Linked DNA regions of Ovis aries. The protein of the gene in region 1 binds, or shares a complex with, the protein of each later gene. Links are inferred from orthologs where the notes say so. Each region holds a gene or a part of one and is shown on either strand. Other genes may lie near its edges. The genes, in order: UXT, PFDN6, POLR2E, PDRG1, ASDURF, RUVBL1 and DNAAF10.

Region 1 (4,218 bases):
GAAACAAAGCTTGGTTTTAGACTGCAAACCCACAAATTATCTGGGAAAACTTCCCTGATACGCTGGGTGCTCTAGGGCCTGCAGCCAGAAGTATCATTTGGGGGATCCAGCACTGGAGTTCTTCTTCAGGCCTGGACTTACTGAGTTAGAGGCTATTATTTGAAAATCTAACATAGGAAATAAATCCATTCGGTAATTTGAGCACATAAAAATAAATACAAAGTTTACACATTTAAATAAAAACATAGGAACTCTTTCTAATGACAAGATAACCTATCTTGGGCAGAGGACTTCAGCAACCCTCTATTTGACGCCCCAATTAAATGACGTGATCAGCCATGAAATTAAAAGATGCTTTGCTTACTCCTTGGAGGGAAAGTTATGACCAACCTAGATAGCACATTCAAAAGCAGAGACATTACTCTGCCAACAAAGGTCCGTCTAGTCAAGGCTATGGTTTTTCCAGCGGTCATGTATGGATGTGAGAGTTGGACTGTGAGGAAAGCTGAGTGCAGAAGAATTGATGCTTTTGAACTGTGGTGTTGGAGAAGACTCTTGAGAGTCCCTTGGACTGCAAGGAGATTCAACTAGTCCATTAAAGGAGATCAGCCCTGGGTGTTCTTTGAAAGGACTGATGCTAAAGCTGAAACTCCAATACTTTGGCCACCTCATGAGAAGAGTTGACTCATTGGAAAAGACTCTGATGCTGGGAGGGATTGAAGGCAGGAGAAGAAGGGGACGACAGAGGATGAGATGTCTGGATGGCATCACCGACTCGATGGACATGAGTTTGAGTGAACTCCGGGAGTTGGTGATGGACAGGGAGACCTGGCGTACTGCAGTTCATGGGGTCACAGAGTCGGACACAACTGAGTGACTGAACTGAACTGAACTGATTAGACATAGTGCGTTATCAACCTCTGCTTGAACTCCAGTCATGGACTGCGGGCTACAGAGCTGGAGTCGTCAAAGGTGCATATCAGAAAATTTGTCTCCTTTTCAAAACTTATGTTTAATGCTGACATTTATTTCCATTATTGAAAGTCAAACCCAAGCTTCCCTTGTGAAAACTCAAAATCCAGGGCGATGCAAGGATATACTTTCCTTTTTACAGACCACATTCATAATCTTTTCTTGCCCGGCTGCTTCTGAAGCTCTGACTTTTAAACACCAAAAGCTGTACTCGCTCTGTGTGTACCGCCACCTCCGGCACCCGCCAAATCCCATTAAACCCCACCCCCAGCAACAGTGCACTATCCCCATAGGCTTGTTGCGCAGTCCAGGTTCCCACGCTCTTCAGCCTTTCTTAATCAGCGGATTTCTTAAAGCCCCGCCCTTTCCTTCTCTCCGGCGTTTTTTTCCGTTCAGGACTGCCTCACCCACCCTGGTTATTTGGTTGGCCAGCGCCCCCGCCGTACGTCATTTACCCGCGCCACCCGGAAGCCACGGTTCTTACTAACACTTCTTTTTGCCGGCGGCTTTCAGGTAACGGCAGCGCTTGGGTGTCCCTGTGTGATGGGGTCCCAGAGCTGGGAGGGGCGGAAGGCTGAACCCTCGGCATAAGCCGGACGACTCAACTCCCAACACTGAAAAGGTGCAGTTGCACTGTGCTTGAGACCAAACTGAGACCAGTGGTCTTCAACGTGGTCTTTCTCCCTCCCCATTCCTCAGGAGCCCATCATGGCGACGCCCCCTAAACGGCGGGCGGTGGAGGCCACGGCGGAGAAAGTGCTGCGCTACGAGGCTTTCATCTCTGACGTGCTGCAGCGGGACTTGCAGTAAGTGACAGAACGGGGGGCGGAGCTATTGGAGCGGTCCACGTGGTGAGCGGGGCGTTCGAAGTCAGGGCCTGGCCTTCTGATTGGTGGGTGAGGCGTTCAGAGCCCGGCCCCGTGCGCCATTCGAGGAGGAAGGAGGGGCGATATCCGGGGTGCAGCGTCGGGTGAGGAGGGAGACTTGGTGATTTAATGGTGCCTGTGTACGCGCATGCGCGGCTTCCGATGACCTTAAAGGGTTAAGAATTAGAGTTCTGAAGCTGGAGTTTTCAGGTTCGAATCCTGGCTTGACCATTTTGCTTTCCGTGTGAATACATACTTCGCCTCCACTTGCTGTGCCTCAGTTTCCTCATCTGTGAAATGGGGAAGTTAATGCAGCCTTCCCCACGGCAGTGGGTTTGTGTTTTCAGTGTATTCAGTCCTTGTAAAGGGTTTAACTTGGATACTAGAGGCTCAATGAGTATAAAAAATTATTATTACTATCATTATTAATCAGAGCAGGAAGGAGAGTGTTCAGGTCTAGGATTATGAGCTCCTAAAAGAGATGGAGGATTTTTTTCTAGGGTGAGAATGTCATATTCTGATTGGAGGGAGGCATTGGGAGTAGAGTGTAATAATACTTGTAAATAAGAGCTAACTCATATAGAGAAATTTGTTTGGAGGGCACTATTCTAAATGCCTTATAGTAAATACTCATTTAATCCTCCTAATGACTCTATGAAGTAATACTCCTCATTCCTATTTTTAAAATGGGGAAATTGAGTTCCAAAGAGATTACTCACTTGCCAAAGTCACACAGCTAGTAAAATGGAAAGCCTGGATTCAAACCGAAGCAATCTGACCCAGAGGCCAAACCTTGACTTCTGCACTAAAATTCCTGTTTAGACTCTGGTGACAGGAGAGTCTCAGGGGTTCATGGTGTGAGATATTCCAAGAGGGACAGGGTTTCCTCTTGGTCACCATTTTACTCTTGTCCTGTCATGTCCCATCAGAAAGGTCCTGGACCATCGCGACAAGGTATATGAGCAGCTGGCCAAATACCTTCAACTGAGAAATGTCATTGAGCGACTCCAGGTAAAGATGCCAGGGTTAGGTAGTCTTTTTGTGGGCAAAGGAGGGGGAAGAGAGGAGATACCCAAGACCAAAACCTGTCACCTGACCTAAAAGTTGACCACTGATCCCTACCTCTTTTTCCCTGGCCCCACAGGAAGCTAATCACTCGGAGTTATATATGCAAGTGGATTTGGGCTGTAACTTCTTCGTTGACACAGTGGTGTGAGTATCTACCTGCCCCTCTGAGCCCACAGGGTTCAGCTTCCCTTTTCCTTCATTCAGCAAATACTTTTGTTAGTATTTGCTATGAACCAGACACTGCTCGGTGCTGAAGATGTGACAGTAAATAAAATAGGACAAATTATCTGCCCACCCTGACCTTCAGTTTGGGGAAGGTGGAGGATGGGGAGTAAAATAAATATTAAACTGTGTAGTATGCTAAACAGTGACAAGGACTTCTCCACTTCTGATCACCACTGTTTCCTTAGCCCAGACACTTCACGGATCTATGTGGCCCTTGGATATGGTTTTTTCCTGGAGTTGACACTGGCAGAAGCTCTCAAGTTCATTGATCGTAAGAGCAATCTCCTCACAGAGTAAGTCCATTGCATGAGGATACTGTCTAAAACAACACCATTTGTAACATCCTTCTTCCCCCTTTCACCCTGGCTACCTGGGATGGTACCTAGGAACCACTTTCCCCTCTCTCTAGGGGAGAGAACAGTGGGGATGCAAAGCTTAGCCCCAGGTGTAGCACATAATAAGTACTCAATAAATGGTCTCTGTATTGTTCACTCACACAAAAACTTATTGGGCATTTGCTGTATGCCAGGCTCTGTGCTTGGTGTTGGGGAGGCAGTATGAACAAGACAGAAGAATTCCTTGAAAGCTTACATTCTACAAGGGCTATAACTATTACACATCAGCACAGTTTTGACCAGATCCTGGAGGTCTCAGCCTGTAAATCAGTAACAGTAAAACAAGTTACCTCTGACTTCACCTTCTGCTAATTTTCCTGCTCATTCACTGTGCTCTCATCACATTAACCTTCACAGGCTTCTTTAAATGCCCACAAAGTGATCCCACCTCAGCACAACTGCAGTAACTGTTCTCTGTCTGCCTACAGCACTTTCCCCCCGATATATGCATGGCTTCCTTTTTCCTTATTCACTTGAAGTCTTGCTTAAATGTCACTTCCTATAACCTAACTTGAAAATTGCAACCCTTGCGCTCCTGATTCCCCTCCCTTGTTCTACTTTTTCTTTTTTTCTGTAGCACTTATGACCTCCTAATGTTTACTGTGTGATTTACTTTTTTATAATGTTCATTGCCTGCTCCCATTAGGATATAAGCTTTGCAAAGGGAGAGATTTTGTCTACGTCTCAAGTCA
Region 2 (3,168 bases), on another chromosome or scaffold:
CAATGTACAAACTTGGAGGTCTCAGAATATCACAATGCATTATGTGCTGGGATATGAAATCCAATTTAAGCTACATTTAAACAAAGTCTAGGAAGAAAAGAGACTAAAAAGAACTAAGATGCCAGGGCTATTCTGAGGATGACAAGAAATCATAGCAAAAGAGGATTACCATGTTCCATTCTGGGACTGCAGGTTAGAGAATTGTGAGTTTTTCAATGAAACTTAACTTTCCCCCAAATTGTTTCACTGTCAATGCCCTTTTCTTGGTTGCTTCCAATCAAGAGAAGAGAGAGTTAAGGCTTGCATGTACAGGCAAGGATTAGGTTTGAGACATTTCGGAGTTTAGTCTCAAGAAAGAAGGGTTACTCTGCCACACACAAATTTCAGTGCACAAATTTGGATCTAAGAGAGTAATGCAGGTGATATAGGGGTGAGGGAGAAGGGACCAGAGGAAAGGATGGAGACAGTTACAACAGAAGTGGCTGGTCAGAACACGCCAGGTATTTTCACATTTTATTAGCTACAGTATAGACCCTAGAGCTGCCGCATTCCTCCCCCCGCCCACCCCCCCAGGACAGGGTCAGGCTTTCCCAGGAGCCCCTGCCTTTGCCGCCTGCGCCCTCTGAAACTCCTGCTGCAGCTGAGCCAGGGTCTCCCTCTGTTGTTCTGACTGCTGCTCTAGGTCTCGGAGCTGGGATTCATACCGCTTACTGAGGAAGGGCAAAAAAGCAAATGAGAAATTAGTGAGACTTACTCTTGAGGGTGCTGAAGACAAGATTGGTCAGAAACTTGAGCTCTAAGGGGAGTATGAAGAAAAGGGAAGGAGTTGAAGGACACAGGAAGGAGTTGAAGAACCTGCTCAAATGGGGGCTGCTCTGGAGAATGACTCTAGAAAGGTTTCTCAGCACCTTTATTCCCAACGGATCAAGTATAACACAGTGGGGTGGAAGGAAGACTCACATCTCAGCTGTGATGTAGTCCAGCCTTTTCCCCACTGTGGCCCGAGCTTCCCCCAGCTCCTGTTTGACCAACACGGGCCCCAGAAGTTTAAACACCACGTTGGACCCATCCAGCAGGGCCAGTTCCTGGTGGAGGAGTGGGAAAAACATCAGAATCACTTCCAAGACAGGTCCCCCCTCGCCCCACAAATCTCAGTCTCTCACCTCCTTCACGATATTATTTTCTGTTAGTTGTGCCTCTAGTTTCTGCCTCCCTGACATGGATTTACTCAAGTCTGCCGGATGAAAAGGTTTGTTTAGAGACATCTCATGTGCCACCCGACCACCACAGTCCTGGTAAGAAGGCGGAGCTGAGGAAGCAGGCAAGGATGAGCAGGCGGGACAGGGAATGGGAAGACTACAGAGAAGGGGAAGGAGCCGCAGGCTGGGGCCAGAGGTGGGACAGAATACATTATTCGGGTATAGACAGGTTGTGAGTGAATTGCCGCGAGGTCACCCCTACCCTGCTCCCTTACCCTTCTGCAGCTGTTGATATTTCTCCACTTCCCCCTGCAGCTTCTTCTGGATTAGCTCAGCCATGGCGGGGACGAAAGCCTGCGGGCAGCGGGAGAGGGGCGCTGGGTCTCACGCTCTGGAAGGTACCCGGGCTCCCCTTTCTGGCCTGCGGAGGTGACAGCCCTCTTGAGAGGCAGCCCCTCGGGCCACCCACTGCAGTCTCTCCTGGTCCGGGATATCGACTCACCCCCAGCCTCAGGGAGTGGCAGTACCCCGAACTCCTCAGCCGAACCGCTCCCCTACTCACGCTCTCACTTCAGTATTGGTGAACCCGGAAGTAAATAGAGAATGCTGGGGAAAGACGGCACCGGAAGCTGTGAGCCGGCGCACGCCGGGAAATGTAGTTCTAATATGGTCAATGTGTGGCGTTCTGCTAAAAAGACCAGAAGCGGAAGGATTTAAGGCAAGATGGAGAAACCGAGATGGGAAAAGAAACTGCAGGGTTGCTTGGGTCTTGGCCTCGGACTGCCCGTCTTTCATCACTTGGGCATAAGTTGCCGCACTGGGGGCCTTGGTCCCGCCCCTCAGTGGGGAGCGCGCCCTCATTAAAGATGGCGCCTAGGAGGCTTCAGACCTGGAACGGCGCTGATTGGATGAGTCTCGGAGGACTTCCGGGAGTTTTCCATCACACTGTGGGACTGTGGAGAGGAGTTTGCACGTGGATCGTGGTTCGAGTGGGCTAGATGGAGACAGTCCCCAAGCCGGGCAGTAATGTTCCACCCAAGAAGGACAGACTGCAAGCCAAGAAGAAGGTAGGGATCTCCTTGGGGTGGAAAGGAAGTTTTTATTTGCGGGGTTCGAGGGGCGGGGCGAAGGGCAGCGGAATACGAGGGATCCTGCTCTGTTGGTAGAAACCGCGGCGATACTGGGAGCAAGAGACCACTGGGACTGCGGCCGGAGCTTCTCCAGGTCCCCCTCATAAACGGAAGAGGAGTCGAGAGCTCCGCCCCCAGAAGCCAAAGAGAAATGACACCTCAAAGAAGTTTCGGATCTCCAAGAAACCCCGAGAACTGAAGAGTCCGGGGCCTCAGCGGACCTTTTCTGGGGTGAGCCTGGGACCTCCCGGGGTGCCGAGGCAAGTCGCCTTGTGCTTTCAGGGTCGGGGGGTTGGGGTCAGCTCGAGCCTGTTTCTTAATTGCCTCCTCCCTGCCGCAGGCCCAGGACCCATTTGCAGGCCCCGCCCCTGTCAGTGTGGAGGTGGTTCGGAAGTACTGTCGCATTGACAAATCCAAGGAGGTGAGGGCTAGTCGGAGAGTGGGGAGCGGTTGCAGGAGGGAGTGTCTGGGTGAGTTGAATGGAGGCGGGGCTCTCCTGTGACCCCCGCATCCCTTGGTCCTTCTCTCACTTCATCTCTCACCGCTGTTTTAGCTACCACATGCGAAGACCAAGACACGAAGCCGACTTGCGGTGGCTGAAGCACAAGAAGAGGAAACAAGTGTCAGAGCTGCTCGATCTGAGCTTCTGCTTGCTGAAGAACCTGGGTGAGTGGACCCTGATGTGGGCCTCCCCAATCCCTGATTTATGGGGCTCTAATTTCTGATTGTGATGCTGGGATACCCACTTCTTATTAGGAAGCTTTAATGCAACTCTCACGCTCACTTGCAGGTTTCTGGAAGGAGAGGATGGGGAGGACACGGCAAAGATTCGCCAGGCT
Region 3 (4,031 bases), on another chromosome or scaffold:
CTACTGTCCCCTGGATGCTCCCCGTAGGGTCCCCCAGGAGTCCCAAGCTCACCATATCCAAGATCTGCTCCAGATCTGCCTTCTATGCCTCCCCACCGAGGTCTGTTCTTCCTCCTCTGCTTGTCTCTGTGTCTTTCCACATCCTGTCCACCTACAGATCCTATGAGCGCTGCCTTCTGGACACCCTAGACCTGCCCACAGCTCATCCTTCACTTGAGGCCTCATCTATCTCTGGCCGGGACGGTCCTCCCTAGCCCACTCCTTGGTCTCCCTGTTTCTGCCCTGTGGAGATGCTGAAAATGGCTGCAAGCACAAACTTCTCAAACCCAACCAGCAAGGGCTCCCAAGATCTGCCCCACCTGACCCTCTGACCCACAGGCCTCCTTGCTGCCAACATGCTAGGCCTCAGGGCCTTTGCACATGCTGTACCCTCTACCTGATACACTTTCCTCGACATCCCCAGGGCTTCTACCCTCTCACCCTTTGGATTTTTGTTGGAACCTTCCATGACCACATTTGAGACTTCTCTATTTTTTCTTCCACAGCACTGTCTCCTTCTAACACGCTGTATCATTTACTTATGTCCGCTGTTTCTGTCCTGTCTCTCCCTGGCATGTAAGGATGCTTGGTCTGTTTTGTTCCCCGTCTCTTTGGCTCCTCATTAAATACTGAATCATTGAATTAATATATTACTGAATGAGAAGTTACTGACACAAGTAAGCTGGGCTGAGCAGGCCTGAACAAACCTCCTGAACGAACTCGGAGGGGAAGGGCCGATGCAGAGGTTGTGCACTCTTGGGGTATCCAGGCAGGGGCTGGGCTGGGGCTCAGCTGCATTTTGTAAGCACCAGGAACTATACCAAGCTCCTCCCAAGTACGAGCATCTCTTTAGATCCTCTAAAATGGGGGACACTTTATTCTTTTCATTATACAAAACGGAAAACCGAGGCTCCGCTCACACTTCCTCAATCTCTCCAGATTCTAAACACTGTCCAGACTGACGTTGAGCAAAAACCACCACTCCCGAGAAGCCGTGCCGTCAAAGCATCGCGAGAACTTCCGAGGGGCGGGTGGGCGGTGCTGTTTGAAAGCTGCTCGCGCAACCAACCGCCGCTTTAGGAAGGCTAGGGCTGCCCTTGGCAGTGCCGCTCCCGAAGGTCGCTGTATTCAGGCGTTCGCCTGCGACAGCCCTGCACGGGTAGACGACGTGTTGGGGGCCTGATCAGGACTCGGAGTAGGCACTGTGGGCCCTGGTCGTGCTGGTCGCAGGCGCAGTGTGTGAGAGCGGCGGGAATCATGGACGATGAGGAGGAGACATACCGGCTGTGGAAGATCCGCAAGACCATCATGCAGGTGAGCCGCGCGGAGGCAGCCCTCCTTGGAGAACGCGGTGAGGGCGTGCCTGGCTGCGCCAGACGAACTGGGCACGTGGCGGCCGAGGCGTGAACGGCGGGTGCTAGGGCCCGTTGATGAGGACGAGCCTCTTCACCCGCGGCGGCGCGGCTGGAGCGGAGGAGTCGAGCCCCAGAGCCCCCAGAGAAGGGGGTCAGGATCTCGCTCGAGCTGGAGAGAGGGAAGGCGGGAGACGCTGGGCCGCCTTGTATTTGTGTTTCTGGAGGGTTGTGGTGTTACAGCCCCTGATCCTTGAAGTTCTTAATCAGTAAGAATTGATAACAGGCCAGACTAGAAGGTCAGGCAAGGCTTTGTTGGAGCTTATGCTGCAGCAGGAGGGAGCGAAAACAAGCAACAGGCGCCCTTCTTAGGTCGTCTTGAATGGGATAATGGGATGAGGGTGGGCGCGGGTCCAGGGGTCATGCCAGAGTGATGATTCGGGTGGTCTGCCTACCCTCTGGGTGGTGCTGTGTGCAGGGATCAGGCCTGGCACCCAGCTTTTGCTCCGGCACCTCAGAAGTGGAGGTTTTGACTTTCTGTTGTTGTCTATCATTTGCTCGAGCTGGGCAATTGCACGGTTATTTTTAGTCCCGCATGGTTTCTGGGTATTCTGTTGCTGGAGAAGATGTTTGTCCAAGTGCAGGCGCTGCCGCAAAGGGTCCCAGCTCCCAGCCTGTCTTATCAGCACCACCGTAAGTGCATAACGCAGAATCCCGGGTTCTTGACGGTGGAAGGAACCCTGGTGGGCTGGTCTGACTGCTGTCTGGTGGTTACTTAGATGCCTTGCCCACCAACTCAGTCTCAGTGTCACAGCAGTCACACCAGCTTTTTCTGTGTACCACATGCTTTAAGCCACCATGTGAGAGGGGTCCAGTGTGATGCCACAAAGACTTGGGGCCTTGATCAAGAGCACCCAGCCTCCTGGGAATTGTGCTGGAGCTAAGGCTGGGCTATGACCCAGCCTCTTCAACACTTGGCAGAGCTACTCAAGACAGGGCGGGAGCAGCTGCGCTTCTACCTGATGGTGTCGGGGCTGCGGGAGAGGAGACCCAGGTCTCTGAATGGAGACTCGGCGGGGGGTGGGGGATGTGGGCAGGGCTGGGTGGCAGCTCCAACCTTCCTTTGTCTGGGTCCTCACCTAGTCTGTGTGCTCACAGAGCCCTAGTTTCTGAGCAGGACCTTGAACTGCTGGGCCTCAGGCTTTTGCCTGGTTTCACAGCCAACACCCGCCCAGCCTGCTGTACCTGTCAGACCTACGCCCTGGGGCCTGACTCTGGACTCAACATCTCCGCTTGCATCCCAGGCCTTTCCCCAGTCTCCTCTGCGGTGGGTGAGGCCACCGGAGCTCTGGCTGCTGTCCTATCTCCACTGTGCGATCGATCACCTGCCCTTTCTCTCTGCAGCTGTGCCATGACCGTGGTTACCTGGTGACCCAGGACGAGCTGGACCAGACTCTGGAGGAGTTCAAGGCCCAGTTTGGGGACAAGCCCAGTGAAGGGCGGCCAAGGCGCACGGACCTCACGGTGCTGGTGGCCCACAACGACGACCCTACTGACCAGATGTTCGTCTTCTTCCCAGGTGAGGGCTGCTCAGGGCCAGCTCACAGCAGCCACCTGCTGTGCGCCCCAGAGTCATGCACCCACCCTTATCCTTCTGTCCCCTGCCCTCCTTGCTCTGGGAACCCCTTCTCCAGCTTCCCTCTTCTCGATCACCCATCCATTCTCTCTGGGCCTAAAGATCACATTTCCAAATACAGTTTCATTCTGAGATTCCAGGGCCAGGACCCCAACAGAGGGACTTTGAGGGCAGAGTGGGTTAGTGGAATGGGAAGTGAGAGCAGCTGGAAGGGGCGGACATACTGCACACAGACCCTGGGGCTGCCCTAGGTGCTGACCTGCTGGGCTCCTAGGGTCCGGCTGTTCTGTGGCAGGCCCTGCATGCTGCCAAGACCATGAGGACCCCCAGTGCTACGGCATGGAGATGGGTGGTCTGTGTCTGGCAGGACCATACTCTCTGGGTCAGCTCACCTCAGCTTACCTCTGAGAACCCCAGCCCTTGTCTCATGAACTCCAAGACTAAACCAAATCCAGGGCTTCCCAAACCTCAGAGCCACTGAGCCCTGGCCAAGCCCAGACTCCCAGACCCCACTTCCAGAAGAGGTCCCTGAGGTCCAGGGCACCCAGGGCACTTGTCAGCTCCCATGTGACCTGGAGGCAGCCAGCTCCCCCATTCTGGGAACCAGCTGCCCAGTTCTTGCTTTGCACACGGGGAGGCTGAGGCCCAAGAGTGGGAGTGGCACCGCAGTGCCTTGGCAGAGCCAGGCTAGAACCTGGGTGCCCGATGGGAAGGGGCCCTGCAGCACTGATCAGCCTGTGCTCTGCCTGCAGAGGAGCCCAAGGTGGGCATCAAGACCATCAAGGTGTACTGTCAGCGCATGCAGGAGGAGAACATCACACGTGCCCTCATTGTGGTGCAGCAGGGCATGACGCCCTCTGCCAAGCAGGTAAGCCTGCCCCGCCAGGGTGGGATGGAGCCTGGCCAGCACCTCTGTCCCCAGGCCCGGGGACCGGCTGCCACACTAGCTCCCAGCCACCCTGGGAGCATCCTGACAGGTACTTACCTTTCTTGATGTGAGATGA
Region 4 (4,068 bases), on another chromosome or scaffold:
CTGGTGAGCCCTGTTTCTCCTTTGGCAAATGTTCCTCCTTCCTTCACAAGGCCTGTGTCTGCGTTTCTGAACCAGAAGGTATTTACACAAAACATCCTGGGTTTGGCGACAAATTCACCCTTAATGAGGAATCCTTAATGAATCTCCTTCTTTCCCCATGCCAGGTGGCTGCAGGGAAAACTAACTGCCTCATCAGTTCAAGGAAGCCAAAGGCCAGGCAAAGACAGGGTGCTTCGAGGACTTTTGGGGCCACAACTTGGTGGAGGGCCTTTCTTCTTTCAGGATCCAGAAACAGCTGTGGTCTAGAAGCTTGAGCACTCCTGGACCATGTTTGCTCCTGACTTGCCGTGGGACAAGGAACAAGCCTCAGCATGCAGCTGCGAGATGTGTAATAACCCACCCATACAAAGATGGTTGTGAAATTCAAGGAAGGCAAGGGGTGTGAAAGGGCTTGGTTACAGTGGCCAAAAGGAGAGCAATACAAGCTGGAGTCAGGGAGACAAGAGGTCAGAGCTCTAGTACTGGGTCTGCTGTTGACTTTTTAAAACCCTCACCACCCTCTGAACCTTGGCTTTTCCAGCTGTACAGTGAGGGGTTTGGGTGTGAAGATCTCTAGGGAATCTTCTGATTCGGAAGGGCAGCCACTTTCCACCTGCCTACTTCTTCTTGGAAATCTTCCCAGCTCCTACAGCCCACAATGATTCACTTTCCAGCATTTCCAACTCTTCTGAGCTGGCACTTCATCACTCACCGCCCTTCCTAGGGTCTAGGTCAGCTATTCTTGACACTGGGTCCAACACAGGGGCTCAATGAAAGTAGAGGTCAAACTGAATTTTAAGACTCCTGCCTCCTTCCAATCCTGCGGAAACACAATGAGAAGGATTTTTATTCACTCTCATTTTATAAATCAGAAACTGCTACACTTGCTTCCTTGGTGCTCCTCAGGCAGGGGAAGAATGGCTTGATTTCTCCAAAGCCCTATCACTGCCTCCCATAGTATATAATTATTTGTTTTGTGATCAATTGTTTATGTTACCCACTAGATGAAGTTGCGCGAGGGGCAGGGACTTCGTTTTGTTCACTTCCGTATCCTCAGCGCCTAAGAACTATCCTAAGGGAGGGCGAGGTTAAGAGGTTTGGACCTGCAGGGGGCGCTCCAGCCCCGCCCCCAAGCTAGGCCCCGCCTCTCGCGTCCGCTTTCGTGCGAGCTTTGGAGCCTGCGCGCCTCCGTTCTTCTTTCAACTGCGCATGCGTGCCGGAAGCCCTGTGAGAACGGCGCGTGCGCGGACGGAGCTGCAGTGCGGCAGAGCCGGAGGTGAGCGCGATAGGATAGCGGCGTAGTGGAGTCGTGACTGGTAGGCATCATGTTGTCGCCCGAGGCGGAGCGGGTGCTGCGGTACCTGGTGGAGGTGGAGGAGCTCGCCGAGGAGGTGCTGGCGGACAAACGGCAGGTAGGAGGCCTGTCCGCGGGGCTGGGGCCCGGGTTTTGCAGTTGGGCCTGCGAGCTCCTAGGGCAGCGCGCGGGGTCCGGAATCCGGCTCCAGCTTGGGCTAGCTGTGAATTGACCTACTCTTGTGGGCCAAGGGCTGTGACGACAGACCGGGCGGTTGTGAGATCATGTGGGCCAAATGTCGAGTGCGTGGCACAGCGCCGCGCTTGACTCCTGTATTTGGCACATATTAAGCCCGTCTGTGCCAGGCCTTTCCTCTCTCGCCATCCTTCCTCTGCCCTTTGCCCAGCTTTCCGGATCCCGACCCATTACCTCTTGGGGCCTTTGGTTTACCTGAACCGCTTTTTCAAAATGCAGTTTCTGGGCCCCAACACTGACCTGGGCTGCACCGCTCCAGTCCAGGCCAGAAGAGGAACAGGAAAGAAGTCTGAGTGGTCTAGTAATCGCGCAGGAGTCGGGACGTGGGAGAAGTGTGGGGCCCAGGCCACCGGAGGGCCGTGGAGACCTGCACAGGGAGTTTAAGGCAGCTTGTGGTGGGCAGAGAGAATGATATAATGGATTGAGGCTTTGAAAGATCCCTCTGGCTGCTCTGTAGAGCACAGACTATAAGAGGGGAAGGGGTGAATGAGGGGCCAGGTAGGGGATGGGTTTGGGCCTAGGTGGTGGTGATGGGTCATCTCCCTTTGGAGATGGCCTCCATGATGCTGAGGTATAGGGGTGAGGGAGTAGGAGGGATCAAGAATGATTCAGACTCCTCATCTCCAGTTAGAATGATTGGGTACTTGGTCAGTTGGGTATTAAGGGAGAGCCTAGTAAACACTGCATCAAGGTGTGCTGGCTGACAAATAGCAGTTAAAGTTGATTGAGTACTTACTGTGTATCAAGTACTGTGCTGACTTAGTTCCTAGGTTAATAACCTAGGTGGTGGGTCCTCTTCCTGTCCCTGTTTTTCAGAGAGGTGAAGTCACACCGCTCATAGCAAGCTGCAGGATTCAAACCTGGGTGTTCTGCCCCAGAGCCTCCACTGCCAGGCAGTAGTACTGCACTGCCTCCTCACTTTCTTAGTAGCCATTTTGCTGTGACCACTGTCTCAGTGCCTTTCTGATGTAATATTGTTGTTTTTCTCAGGATACTCGGTCAGAATCAGCTGGAGGAGCTTGTTCAGGAAGTGGTTTCCACTCCCCTGGTGATTCTGAAATGCCTTGAAGCTTGAGAACTAGTGCTCCCGTGGATGATAATAAAAAATTACCCATTTAGTCACTAGACATTTCCCCAGCTCCTCCTCTGGGGGGAAAGACACCTGGATGAAGCATCGTCTTTAAGGAGCTGGAAGCTGAGTGGGGGAGGGAGTACCTTCACACCTCTGTCCGCTTTAGGCAGGACATTAGAATTAACCGAGGAATGATGCCTTGTCGTCTTCGTCAGGTTTTAACAGCCCTGGTCTGTTGAGGGTACAGACCCAGGTAGGAGGTAACTGAGTTCCCTCCTGCCCCTGTGCTTTTCAGATTGTGGACCTGGATACCAAAAGGAATCGGAACCGGGAGGGCCTGAGGGCCCTGCAGAAGGATCTCAGCCTCACTGGTAAGCCTAGCTTCGTTGTTGCAGCCCAGGAGGCCTGTTCAGTTTACCTTCTACTGCCTTTGACTTATTCCTGTTAGAGACCAGGCAGGAGGCCACAGGTGTGTGGCACAGCCCGTGGAGATGGGAGAGATGGCATTGCAGGTCTGACCTAGACTGTGGCTCAGGATTTCAGTTTCTTACCTCAACCAGCAGGTTGTTAGCTGCTAGCTTATCAATTGATGACACTGGGAAAGTGCTGGGGGTATAAAAACAGTGCAGTTCCTGCCCTTGTGCTCTACAGGTGAGTCAACAGCATAAATACAGAACTGAAAATTGTAAGAAAGCTGCAGAAGGAAGTGAACACAGGGTTGGTCTTGGATAATGGGATGGTGGCTCTTTAGATGAGGCTAAGTGGTGGTGATGGAGGAAGCAATAGGGGAGGGGCAAGTGATCATGCTAGAGAGATGGGCAGAGGCCAGGCCATGATGAAGGGCCTCAGGAACCAAGCACTTAAAGTGCACTGGAAAGCCTGAACCCTTCCAGTGTCTTGTCTCCCCAGAGTAAAATCCAGAGTCCTGCAGGGCTCCGTGTAATTTCGCTGAACTCTCCCACCTTGTCTCCTCTGCTCTCACGCTCGCTTATCAGCTGCACCCTCACCGTTCTCCTTGCTGTTCCTGACACACCGGCACGTTACTGATCCTTGCTGTTCCTGGTTCCTCTGCCTGGCTTGCTCTTTCCCTAGATGGGTGTCTGCAGGGCTTGCACACTCCTCACTTTTGTCAGGTCTCTGCCAGCATGGCACATAATCTGTAAGACCTTCCAAGACTGCCTGGTATAAATGACAAGCTCCTCTTTTTGGCATTCCCCATCTCTCTTTCCCTGCTTTAGTTTTCTCTAAGATACCTTTCAGGGTCTGATGAATCATATCTTTATTATCTTGACGTTGTTGTATATTCTCTCTCCTCCACTCTAACAAGCTAGGAAGGCAGGAATTTCGTCCTGTTTTGCTGTGTTTTCAACATCTAAAGCAATGCCTGGCATCAAACTATTTGTTGAAG
Region 5 (3,939 bases), on another chromosome or scaffold:
GTTGAGCTTTAAGCCAACTTTTTCACTGTCCTCTTTCACTTTCATCAAGAGGCTTTTGAGTTCCTCTTCACTTTCTGCCATAAGGGTGGTGTCATCTGCATATCTGAGGTTATTGATATTTCTCCCGGGAATCTATTCCAGCTTGTGCTTCTTCCAGTCCAGCATTTCTCATGATGTACTCTGCATAGAAGTTAAATAAGCAGGGTGACAATATACAGCCTTGATGTACTCCTTTTCCTATTTAGAACAAGTCTGTTGTTCCATGTCCAGTTCTAATTGTTGCTTCCTGACCTGCATATAGGTTTCTCAAGAGGCAGGTCAGGTGGTCTGTATTCCCATCTCTTGAAGAATTTTCCAGTTTACTGTGATCCACAGAGAGGCTTTGGCATAGTCAATAAAGCAGAAATAGATGGTTTCCTGGAACTCTCTTGTTTTTTCAGTGATCCAGCGGATGTTGGCAATTTGATCTCTGGTTCCTCTACCTTTTCTAATACCAGCTTGAACATCTGGAAGTTCACGGTTCATGTATTGCTGAAGCCTGGCTTGGAGAATTTTAAGCGTGTGAGATGAGTGCAATTGTGTGGTAATTTGAGCATTCTTTGGCATTGCCTTTCTTTGGGATTGGAATGAAAACTGACCTTTTCCAGTCCTGTGGCCACTGCTGAGTTCTCCAAATTTGCTGGCATATTAAGTGCATCACTTTCACAGCATCATCTTTCAGGATTTGAGATAGCTCAACTGGAATGCCATCACCTCCACTAGCTTTTTCGCAGTGATGCTTTCTAAGGCCCACTTGACTTCACATTCCAGGATGTCTGGCTCTAGGTGAGTGATCATACCATCGTGATAACCTTGGTTTTTTCCTAGATAATAAATATTAAGCGGTGTTTCTACTGAGCTTCTATTCTTCATAGTCACCACTAGGGGGCGCATATAATTTACAGTCTACTAGATGCCACAGGGTAAAGAGCGTTTCAACATCCCAACCGCTAGGGTCCGTTCGGGCCCCTAACTTGTGCGCACGCGCGCGAGTACTCCTAGCCCAGATCCGGCCTGCGCAGGCGTTCCAGTGAGCACGCAGACGCCGTTGATAGGACTCACCGGAAATTGAAAGGGAGGGGCTGGGCCGCGGGGAGCGCAGACGCGCAGGGGCTGCGGACGCGGAACTGCTGGGGTGCCGCCCGGCCTCGCGCCCTGCCTGTTTGCTTCTCCGCGGAGATGCCCAGCCGGGGTGAGCGACCCGAGGACGGCGCTGGGCCCGTCCCTGCTGAGAGCTCGACCCTGCACAAGGACGAGCTCAGCAGCAAGGTGAGTGCGGGACGAGGTAACATGGCCCTCGGGCTGCTCACCGCCGGAGACGAGCCTCGGTGGCCGCGTGCTCTAGTCTCGACTTTGCCCTGCTGCGAGAGGCACAGTTAAAGGGACACCTTGAAACTTGCCCCGAGATTAGACCCAGATGGTAGTAAGGCGGAAGTTTAGTTGGTTTTATTTTATCAATTTTTAACATATTTTAAAGTATCATACAGTAAAATTTGGCTCTTTTTCGTTTTCTCTGTATTTAACACGTGTCTAAATTTGTGTGACCACCGCCACAATTGGAATATAGACAAGTTCCACGACCCTGAAAGACTCCCTTTATAGGCATGCTCTCCCCCGCCCAGAACCTCTGGCCGTCCCTGATCTGCTCTACATCAGGACAGTTTTATCCTTCCCAGCACATCATGTAGTGAAATCACAGCTTATGCCTCTCCAAGCTTAATGTCTTTGAGATTCACGGTTGGATTTTTTTCTATGTATTCTTAGTTAAAACTTTTAGAAATTACCTCCCACCCTAGATCTGCTGCCTGCGGTCTCAGAAAATGTCAGCGCCATCCATGCAGTTGTCCATGCCAGTAACCTGGGAGCCCATCTTTGCATCCGTCACGAAGTTCTGTCCTTTGTAAGGTGTCCCTTTATCACTGTGTACACTTTTAACCATCTTAAACCCGCCCCTTGCATGTGCCATAGGGAATCCTGCAAAAGTTTCCTAACTGGTCTCTCCTTAGCCATTGTTGCCTTCTTCTCCCCTATCCTTCATTTAGCTGGAGCGGAGAAGGCAGTGGCACCCCACTCCAGTACTCTTACCTGGAAAATCCCATGGATGGAGGAGCCTGGTGGGCTGCAGTCCATGGGGTCGCTAAGAGTCAGACAGGACTGAGCAACTTCACTTTCACTTTTCACTTTAATGCATTGGAGAAGGAAATGGCAACCCACTCCAGCGTTCTTGCCTGGAGAATCCCAGGGATGGGGGAGCCTAGTGGGCTGCCGTCTCTGGGGTCTCACAGAGTCGGACACGACTGAAGCGACCTAGCAGTAGCAGCAGCAGCATGCTCCTAAAAATGTTATTTCATTGTTGCTCTTCTGCTCCTCCCCTCACAAAAGGGAGCCAATATAAGGCCATAAATGGAAAAAAGAAAAAAAATTTTTTTAACATTTGAAATGAGGATGGCTATAATCTTTCAGGTAATAGATGTCTAAGATAATACTTTGGTTCTGTCCCAAACTGACACTGGCATCTTGGGCACATCTCTGATTCCTCTGTTACAGTTTCCTTGTCTGAAGTTCTAAAGTATACCTACCATTCCTAAAATGAATGGGAAAGTGCTATTCAAACATAAGCCTTAAAAGGAAGTTGTACAAATTCAGTCTTGGAATTCAACTCAATCTCTGTAATCAGTCACTACAGTGACTGGCAGCTGGAAAGCAGAAGGGTACACATCTGTGGGGAATGAATTTTCAGACTGCACACAGCCTGCTCTGATTCCTACCATAGCATGCCCTTTACTCTTGCCTGGTGGGCTCCTCCATGGGGTTGCAAAGAGTCGGACACGACTAAGCGACTTCTTTCACTTTTCACTTTCATGCATTGGAGAAGGAAATGGCAACCCACTCCAGTGTTCTTGCCTGGAGAATCCCAGGGACGGCGGTGCCTGGTGGGCTGCCATCTCTGGGGTCGCACAGGATGGGACACGACTGAAGCGACTTAGCAGCAGCAGCATGCCACTTATACTGATGTATGACAGATCCCCAGGCATCAGAGGTTACAAAATAACACTGTTTAGAGGCTATGGTGACACTGTGTAATCAATCATGTTTGCAGTATCACTATCATTACTGAAAAGAGTTTAAAAGAAATTTAGTTTCCATTTAGTTGAGCCCTGCTACTGCTAAGTCACTTCAGTCGTGTCCGACTCGGTGCAACCCCATAGATGGCAGCCCACCAGGCTCCCCCATCCCTGGGGTTCTCCAGGCAAGAACACTGGAGTGGGTAGCTATTTCCTTCTCCAGTGCATGAAAGTGAAAAGTGAAAGTGAAGTCGTTCAGTCGTGGCCAACTCTTAGTGACCCCATGGACTGCAGCCTACCAGGCTCCTCTGTCCATGGGATTTTCCAGGCAAGAGTACGGGCTCTTATTGAGCATGCTTTGATAATCTCTGATTTAGTACGTTTTCTTTATTTCAATAGATTAAAGAACAAAAAGTTGTTGTGGATGAACTTTCTAACCTGAAGAAGAACAGGGTGAGTTATTAGCATTACTCTGAATACTATGTGGGAGGATTTGATATCAACTGTATAAATCTATGTATTAATCATAGTTGCTGATAATCTTTCCCCAACATATGCAATTGACATTACCTGCGAATCAAATGATACTGATTGTACTATGTTATCCTGGAGCTTTAGTCAATAATGGTATTTATTTTGTACTTGAATTTGGTGTATTCTTTTGACATAAACATTGAATCTGTTGAGAAGAGGAGAAGCTATACAAGTGAATGTGGATAATTATTTTTTGTTTGTTTATTTTTTAAAAAAGATAAATGCTACCACCTCCTCTCCCTACCTCCTCAGGTTTTTACTCCAAGCTTCCAAATCCTTAACGTGGTTATTTAACTCCATT
Region 6 (4,161 bases), on another chromosome or scaffold:
CATTCACTGACAGAAACCACTACCAAGTCCGGTTAAGATCCAGTGTGTAAAATACACGCAGCAAAACTGCCTGACTCCGTGGGAACGGGGGGGGGGGGGGGGGGGGGGGGCGGGGTTCCAGAACCGGGCAGAAGCCTTAGCTATGAGCCAGACACTGACGCTAAAATGACGGACAGCAGCGACGAGGTCTGCGCTTTCACAGCGCCTGCAGTTTAGTGGGAGAGGCTGACTCTGACCGGACAGTCATGCAAGTAACTGGAAACCTAGACTCAGAAGTGATGACGGAGAAGCGCAAGGAGAGACGAGAGTCAGCAACCACTGCAGCACGATGTGGCTTCAGGCCTGTCTCAGCCCCGATCCAGAAAGGCCCCCCTGAGCTCTGGGCAAGTCCCTCGTTTCTCTGGACCTGAGTCCACTTACCTGCGACATGGCAAAGCACCATCTTCTCCTAAGAACGTTAGCCTGCCATCAGGGTTCCGTGTGGGCATTACCATATCACCTTCTGGTGCCTTCCTAGGCTCTCCAGCTGTTCCAGGTGGCCTGCTTGGGGCTTGCACACCTCACCATCGCAAGCTTCCCAACTAAGGACTAAGCTTGTTAAGGCTGCAGACTTTGTATTTAAGCCTGCATCGTGGAGTGTCCGGCTCAGAGCAGGTGCAAACCAACGTTTATTGAACGGATGGGTGGATGGGAAGAGCACACTGTTCCAGGCAGCGCTGACATTTTCATGGAACGGACAGGACGCAGCCGCGGGATGACCGTCCAATCCGAGGGCTGGGATGAGGGTCCCACAGGCTGCCGCGCCTTAAGCCCTCAGCAGAAATTCCAACTGCTGATTACTTGCTGCGCGCTCTTGGGTGACTTGCGGGGCCTCTTTGCGCCCGCATCTTCATCCGGACTAGGAATTACCCTAAACGAGTAAAGCGAGAGGCGGAGGCGAGGGGACGCAGAGGACAGGCCCCTGAGGACGCTGAGCACGGCCTCCCCGAAGACGGCGGCAGGAGTGGCTGTCAGAAAGCTGCTCAGCCGGCGCAGGTCGAAGCTTGAGTTCTAAACCTGTCTGTTCGTCTCCGACACCGAGGTCGAACTTGAGCTCCGCAGAGCGGTATCGGTTCGAACGCGCTCACGGCCGGAAGGCCCGGTGAAGAGCGGGACGCGCGCCCCTAGTGAGCCGCAGCGCCGCCCGGCTAGTCCCTACCCAGGAAGGAAGCGCCCCCCGCGGGGGAAGCCAACCGTGGGACACCGCCGGAAGCTGGTGGGCGGGCCCTACCGGCAGCCGCGACGGGCGCAGCCAGGAGCCAATGGAGCGCGGAGGCGTTCCCGCCGCGGCCAATGGGACGCCGACCTAGGCGGGACCAACCGCCTGGTAACGGCCTCGTGGTGACGGGGTGCGCGCTGCCTGGGCTGTGCGGGCTCGGGGGCTGCGGTTGTCAGGATGAAGATCGAGGAGGTGAAGAGCACCACGAAGACTCAGCGCATCGCCTCCCACAGCCATGTGAAGGGGCTGGGGCTGGACGAGAGCGGCCTGGCCAAGCAGGCGGCCTCGGGCCTCGTGGGCCAGGAGAACGCGCGTGAGGTGTGGCGCGGGCGGCGGGGCGGGCCTGGCGGGGCGGCGGGGCGGGCCTGGCGGGGCGGCGGGGCCGGGGCTGCGGCGGGGCGGGCCTGGCGGGGCGGCGGGGCCGGGGCTGCGGCGGGGCCGGGGCTGCGGCGGGGCCGGGGCTGCGGCGGGGCCGGGGCTGCGGCGGGGCCGGGGCTGCGGCGGGCGGCGGGGCGGCGCGGAACCCTGCTCTCCCGGACCGCGCGTTTCGGACACAACGTTTAAACCGCCCAACGGGAGTGTTAGACTTTGGGGACGGGCTCTGGGGGGCTTTCTGAGAGCGCATTGCGAGGCCCTGGGATTTTAAAGCCGGCAAGTGGCCAGGCTCGGCAGGTGACGGGTACCGAGTCCTTTTTGACCATTCCACTTAAAGCCCATATCTACCGAGGGATGGCGGTGCCCGGTCCTTTCTGCTGCATTATTATCACAGAACTATTCAGGCTCTTTTTTTTTCTTTTTTTTAATTGTTGCTTTTTTTGTAGATGAAAAAATTCAGGGTGAGAGACCTGTCCACCCAGCCCCCTGGCGACTCAGTTTAGTAACACTGGAGTTTGTGCCTGTGTTTCTGACTCCTGAGACAGTGCTGTCTGTGTAGCAGTCCCCCTCAGCCCGTTGCCAGGACCTCTGCTGTGGCTCAGCAGCTCTCAGTCCAGGCCAAGACTCTTGCCCTCTAGCCTAACTGTGCTAAGAAAGGGCCAAAGAGAAGCCTCCATTCTGGACACCATGCTTGCAGAGGGGAAACTGTGGCAGGATTAAGGTGACTAGCTTCTCTTTATCCAGCCTCAGCTGTCTGAGAGGCTATCACTGCAGAGTCGCTGCGTCCTCTCCACGTGCTAAGCAGCCCCGTTTCCATCGTCCTATCGTCCCCTCCATCCTTAGACTGCCCCTCTCTGCTTTTTTATGGCACTCTTCTGACGTACGGCAAAACTGAAAGAGCTGTGTACCTGTGTGCCCAGGTTCTACAAGCGACACTTCACGCCGTTGCTTGTCTTCTGTCTGTCCATTTAGCCCTCCAGCAGGCTGCCTTTGCATGTCACGCTCAGTCGCAGACATTAGTATACTTCACCGTAAATCCGATAGCATTCGGGCCTCGGTGTTACGAATTCTGTTTTTGGACGAGAAAACTGTGTTTCACAGAGATCAGGTTATGGGTCTCAGATTACTCAGCTGGTGCTTGGCAGAGCTAGGCAAGGCAGCCTGACTCCAGAATCCACGCTGTTAACTCAGCTGCTATGTGCCTCCATCTGAATATGAGCTTCCCAAGGATAGAGACCGGGTGGTGGTAAATATCCAGAACCTGGGTTATGATAGGGACTCAGAATTTATGTGCTGACTTATTAGTCATCCCACCGCTGCCGCCAGGTCCTTGTTTGGGTCTGGTCACATCACCAGCCTCCTTGGTGTTTAATAGGCTCACCTGAAAAATGAGAGTTACAGCTCTCTAAAGGCCCTTCCAGTTCATGCTTTTTAAATCTTGGAATTCACTGGAAGAAGCTCACTGGAGAGAAGGAACCTAAATGGAAGCATATTAACGGGAAGAGGGGGTGTGTGAATAAGAGCACACAGACAAGGCTTGAAAAGTCTTCCTCCTCTTTGAATCGCCCAGAGCTCCAGTGCTGAGGGTTATGAATGATGTCAGAGGTCACTGTGGAAGGACCTCAGTGGCTCCTTTTTCTTTCTGAAAATGCGACCTCTGAAGAATCTCTTCTGGGCTGTGAAAGTGTGCCGTGCTCTCCCAGCTGAGCCAGAAATGGGGTGGAGCACGTCCACGTGGTTTCCGTGAACCTGTGTTTTGAGGGGCTGTCTAAGTGTGAGAGCAAGATACGTCTCCACAGTCCGTGGGGAAAAGAGAGAGAAGAGCAGGTGTTCACAAGACGTTGTCAGCAAGGTGCTGTCCAGGGAGAAAACCTGTGACCTGCCTTGAGACAAATGGAATGCACCTCGGAGAGAGGCGCGCTTTGAATCGTGTAAGGGATCTTGTGTAGTCTCAAGATACAGGAGTTCAGGGAGTGTGACTTTCTCAGCCTTGCTCCAGAAATGCTCTAAAACGCATACAATCAGCAACCCGTTTATAGACTTTCTGTGATGGACATTCATATGTGTGTCAGTATACAGTGGGCCCTTGAACAGCATGGGTTTGAACTGCATGAGCCCACCGCATGCAGGTCTCTTTCAGTGTATAAGTGTTAGGACCCTTGGCTGCCGTCACGGATGTGCAGGGCTGGCTGTAGAGTTATGTGCTGATTTTTGACTGCGTGGAGATTGCGCATCCCAGCTTCAAGGGTTCGTGGGTCAACTACACATATGGATGTATGTGATTATACATATAAATACACACACAGTGTATATGCTGTACAGAATGGCTTAATACTCAGAATGTTTACAGTACGCTAACAACTAATTTAATCTTTAGGATTTGAAAGGCAGTTCTTGGGTCTTATGATGCCATAGATTAAACATCACATGTAGCGCTTGCTTGCAGCCTCCTGGGATAGTTGACTGATGGCCAACTAGTAGAGTGTGTCATTGACTCTTAGTACTTGGTGGGTTAATTTGAGAATCTA
Region 7 (3,500 bases), on another chromosome or scaffold:
TGATTGCTCTTAAACTACAAAATAATAGTCATTACCAATGAAGGCCTTTATTATTAATATAATCAAGAAATATGAAACTGACAAACTTTAGGAAAGTATTCTTTGCACAGAATAACTTATCAAGATCCTATAAGAATATATTAAAAATAGCTCCCTTCATGCAAAAAACCTGGAAGGAACCTGGTGACTCATTCTATTTATTAGTCTAAAGCAAGCTATTAATATGAACATTCCTCTTCATAGAAAGATATTTCCCTCATCTTTACCTTTTCTGAAACAGAAGCAAAACCTTTGGTTGGATGCTGTGTTCTCATGTCAAAAACATGAAACTTTCCTTCCAGAGATGTAGCTACTAACTTATTCATACTTATGTCTTTTCTGTCAAACTCCAAGCTACACACCTGAAAATAGAGAATATTTATGAGTGATGCTCCAATCATTATATCCAAGAGTTTCTTTCAAACCAAGTAAAACAACTGTAACATTATTGGATTATGTGAAAGCACTTTAAAAAAAATCATTTTATCTTTTGAATCTGTATACCGAATACTTGTAACTAGAAAATTTTCTTCTCGGTTAGTAAGGTCCCAAAATCATCTCAGGCACTGAGGTACATTTGGAAAGCCATACTTTAACATTTTACCATTATTACATAATGATTTTATAAAGTCAAGTCAAGGCTGACTAGAGGAAACAGGAAGGAACCACATTCTTCACTAAAGATGTACAACCCGGGAACCAAAAAACCTGTGAGTACCTGGGAGTCAATTACAGTCTTGGTCTTCCTGATATTACCAGAAAAGGGCCTGGTACCAGCTCACTTTAACATCACACTGCATAGCCCACAGGCATCTAGAGATGGGCTACAGGGGCGGTGACCCACCAGGCACTGTCACACCACACCTGGCTGTGTGTTCTCCTTCTGAAGAGTGTCCCTGATTTTTAATCAGATCCTCAAAGGACTTCACAGACCCTAAAGGTTAAGAACCATCCATCCATAAAGGGGTTTTACTGAGACGAGTTATTAGGGGTGCTTTCCTTTTGTAGTTCAGAGGTACGTGGAAAAGACATTCAGAGAAACTGCAAAGAATGCAAATGCAGATTACCCCATTTTTTATATTTGTCTCCCACCGTAAGGACATATTTCTGAGATCAAACAGCTTGATGTCTCCGTTGTCATAGCCAGCACACACGACACGTTCCTCTTGATTATAAGCATTGCCTGGAAATCAGGACATGACATTTCAGATCTTTTTAAATGCTGATTTGAAGGCTGCTTAAAAAACTTATGGACATCCGAGACTAACAACATTGTAAATCAACTATACTCCAATAAAAAACAAAACAATAATCTTACAGAACTACACAGGTAACTTGTACCAAATCAAGTGAAGAAGTCACATTGGATAGAATCTCATTTTACTAATCCTACAGGACATCAAGATTATTAATTTAGTCTCTGATATTGTTTACCAAAAAAACTCTTTATTGAGATTCTGTGCTCAAGAGATATATGAAAGAAAGTGTTTACTGGATTTTAAATTGAAACCAAATATTCTTTCTATACTCTATTTGCAAAGACTAACAATTTAACATAGCAGGGTTCGGTAGAATAAATACAGTTACACTTCCAATGCTTTCTTTGCATGCAAATGGAAACTACTTTAAACTTATTTATTTTGCAAAATGTTGTTCTGGTGTTATCTGATGCTCACAATTGAAGTAAATCTACAACCTGCAGTTGAATTCACCTTGCTCGGATCCAGGAATTTTTTTGGATTACTCCCTCTTCTTATAAACTCCAGCCCTGCATTTCCACTGGAGGGTTCACTGAGATGACATGACAGCAGCTGAAACCTCTGATGTCTAAAACTGATGTCATCGTCTTCCTTTAAAAACTATCATACACTCTGTGGAACTCCTTCAATAAACATCATTCACTTCATAGTCAACCTCAAAATTCAGTCACTTTGGACATAATCCTTTCCCTTGTTCTTCATCTCCAAAAAAATTGCCAAAGTGTATTTATTTTGCCACATTATTTCTTTTTCTTTTTCTTTGCCACATTATTTCTGAATTCACTCCTCTGTTCCATTCTCACTGCTTCTTAACCCTACATGTTTCCTGGAATACTGCAAAGAGCTTCAGAACTCACACTTCCTCTGCCACTCCTCCCGCCTACCCGGCCACAGTGTAAAGCTAAAGCTCTGATCATATCTCCTCCTTGCAGAAGCCTGCGAAGGTTTACCACTACCTCCAGACCATCTAAACGCCTCTGGCTGTGGCCACGTGCCACCTTTAAGGCTAGTCCTACCTCCATTCCTTCTACATACTCGAAATCTCCCCATTTCAGTGTTTCAAATCCTACAAATCCTTGGACTGAGGTCAATATGTTCTTTTGGCTGCCTTGGGATTCCTTCTGTGTTGACCCATGCCTCTGTGACCTTTCATCACTCTGACCTTGTAGGAGTAATACAATTAATGTATCACTTTTTATACATTAGAGCACCTTTTATACTTGTAGCACTTTTTATTAAAGTTACCAGCTTCTTTAATTTAAAATAAGAATCTGCTTCCGATAAATGTCCTTTCTTTAATGTCCTATATTTAAAACTGCACTTACATCCCTTAGAACAATGATTAAAAAGCCTTTAATGGGCCCAAAGTTAATTATTTTTTAATTATTTCATAAATTTTACATGATGATTCTAAACACTAATTCTGAAATTTCTTCCCAAGTGTACATGTTTTTGGCTTATATCATTACTTATACATACACACATAGTAATTATAATATATACACATAGAAATCTCCCAATTTCAGTGGTAATTTAGTTTTAAAAGTATATTAATAGAGGAACATGGTTATAAAATTCGTAAGATATAATTTTATAATAGTATAACTATTTTTAGAAAATAAACACACACCGTGTAGAGCATAATGTGAGACTGGTTAGGTTACCATCTAAGGCTCTACTTAATTTCACTAATGGCATTGGGTTCTAAACTAGGTCAATATCACCAGGTTAAACAAAAATAAATAATAATACTCCATATTTTTGAACACTTGATATCTAAGCACAAGTCTAAGCATTTTACGTGTATTAACTCTGAATCCTCATAACAAAACTATTAAGTAAATTCTATTATGACTTTCATTTTATAAATGAACCAAGCAAAAATCAGAGAAGCCTAATAACTTGCCCCAGGTTACAAAGCCAGTTAAGTAGCACAGTGAGAATTCAAACCCAGGCCCAATCACCATGTCTATCTGCCTCGATAAACTGCCAGAATAATGTACAGAAGAGATTCTAAACTATCAGGACTTTCCTGAAGCACTGTGCTTTTTATAATCTGGCATTTCAGGTGTAAGAGTCCATCGGTAATTTACCAAATGCCACAGTCCAGCAGTCTCTCTTGTTTTCTCCCTGCACGGGTTCCATATTAGCAACAGGATCATCTTTCTGCCGTGGGTCCCACACCTTTACGGTTCCTGACAG

What was found.
Region 2: UXT (region 1) and PFDN6 share a complex: the UniProt entries of both Homo sapiens proteins name them as parts of the PAQosome complex. The link is inferred for Ovis aries from reciprocal best matches to the Homo sapiens genes UXT and PFDN6.
Region 3: UXT (region 1) and POLR2E share a complex: the UniProt entries of both Homo sapiens proteins name them as parts of the PAQosome complex. The link is inferred for Ovis aries from reciprocal best matches to the Homo sapiens genes UXT and POLR2E.
Region 4: UXT (region 1) and PDRG1 share a complex: the UniProt entries of both Homo sapiens proteins name them as parts of the PAQosome complex. The link is inferred for Ovis aries from reciprocal best matches to the Homo sapiens genes UXT and PDRG1.
Region 5: UXT (region 1) and ASDURF share a complex: the UniProt entries of both Homo sapiens proteins name them as parts of the PAQosome complex. The link is inferred for Ovis aries from reciprocal best matches to the Homo sapiens genes UXT and ASDURF.
Region 6: UXT (region 1) and RUVBL1 share a complex: the UniProt entries of both Homo sapiens proteins name them as parts of the PAQosome complex. The link is inferred for Ovis aries from reciprocal best matches to the Homo sapiens genes UXT and RUVBL1.
Region 7: UXT (region 1) and DNAAF10 share a complex: the UniProt entries of both Homo sapiens proteins name them as parts of the PAQosome complex. The link is inferred for Ovis aries from reciprocal best matches to the Homo sapiens genes UXT and DNAAF10.

Annotation. Positions count from the first base shown.
Region 1 is NC_056080.1:57,168,696-57,172,913, forward strand, and holds the start of UXT (protein UXT), read left to right. Parts: upstream 1-1,418; 5' UTR 1,419-1,485; intron 1,486-1,671; 5' UTR 1,672-1,680; coding exon 1,681-1,778; intron 1,779-2,767; coding exon 2,768-2,849; intron 2,850-2,982; coding exon 2,983-3,050; intron 3,051-3,316; coding exon 3,317-3,424; intron 3,425-4,084; exon of another isoform or gene 4,085-4,218. UniProt on the Homo sapiens protein: Involved in gene transcription regulation. Acts in concert with the corepressor URI1 to regulate androgen receptor AR-mediated transcription. Together with URI1, associates with chromatin to the NKX3-1 promoter region.
Region 2 is NC_056073.1:7,615,388-7,618,555, reverse strand, and holds PFDN6 (prefoldin subunit 6), read right to left. Parts: upstream 1,794-3,168; 5' UTR 1,762-1,793; exon of another isoform or gene 1,702-1,761; intron 1,621-1,701; 5' UTR 1,539-1,620; coding exon 1,475-1,538; intron 1,235-1,474; coding exon 1,164-1,234; intron 1,086-1,163; coding exon 961-1,085; intron 711-960; coding exon 581-710; 3' UTR 501-580; downstream 1-500. Other genes in the region: WDR46 (WD repeat-containing protein 46), read left to right, coding at 2,198-2,266, 2,366-2,560, 2,670-2,750, 2,883-2,995, 3,120-3,168. UniProt on the Homo sapiens protein: Binds specifically to cytosolic chaperonin (c-CPN) and transfers target proteins to it. Binds to nascent polypeptide chain and promotes folding in an environment in which there are many competing pathways for nonnative proteins.
Region 3 is NC_056058.1:41,257,705-41,261,735, reverse strand, and holds the start of POLR2E (DNA-directed RNA polymerases I, II, and III subunit RPABC1), read left to right. Parts: upstream 1-1,231; 5' UTR 1,232-1,296; coding exon 1,297-1,353; intron 1,354-2,795; coding exon 2,796-2,970; intron 2,971-3,779; coding exon 3,780-3,895; intron 3,896-4,031. UniProt on the Homo sapiens protein: DNA-dependent RNA polymerase catalyzes the transcription of DNA into RNA using the four ribonucleoside triphosphates as substrates.
Region 4 is NC_056066.1:61,137,078-61,141,145, reverse strand, and holds the start of PDRG1 (p53 and DNA damage-regulated protein 1), read left to right. Parts: upstream 1-1,268; 5' UTR 1,269-1,364; coding exon 1,365-1,451; intron 1,452-2,955; coding exon 2,956-3,031; intron 3,032-4,068. UniProt on the Homo sapiens protein: May play a role in chaperone-mediated protein folding.
Region 5 is NC_056055.1:119,676,120-119,680,058, reverse strand, and holds the start of ASDURF (ASNSD1 upstream open reading frame protein), read left to right. Parts: upstream 1-1,139; 5' UTR 1,140-1,218; coding exon 1,219-1,308; intron 1,309-3,503; coding exon 3,504-3,557; intron 3,558-3,939.
Region 6 is NC_056072.1:59,390,488-59,394,648, forward strand, and holds the start of RUVBL1 (ruvB-like 1), read left to right. Parts: upstream 1-1,361; 5' UTR 1,362-1,435; coding exon 1,436-1,576; intron 1,577-4,161. UniProt on the Homo sapiens protein: Possesses single-stranded DNA-stimulated ATPase and ATP-dependent DNA helicase (3' to 5') activity; hexamerization is thought to be critical for ATP hydrolysis and adjacent subunits in the ring-like structure contribute to the ATPase activity.
Region 7 is NC_056056.1:40,186,417-40,189,916, reverse strand, and holds part of DNAAF10 (dynein axonemal assembly factor 10), read right to left. Parts: intron 3,494-3,500; coding exon 3,392-3,493; intron 1,223-3,391; coding exon 1,107-1,222; intron 402-1,106; coding exon 267-401; intron 1-266. UniProt on the Homo sapiens protein: Key assembly factor specifically required for the stability of axonemal dynein heavy chains in cytoplasm.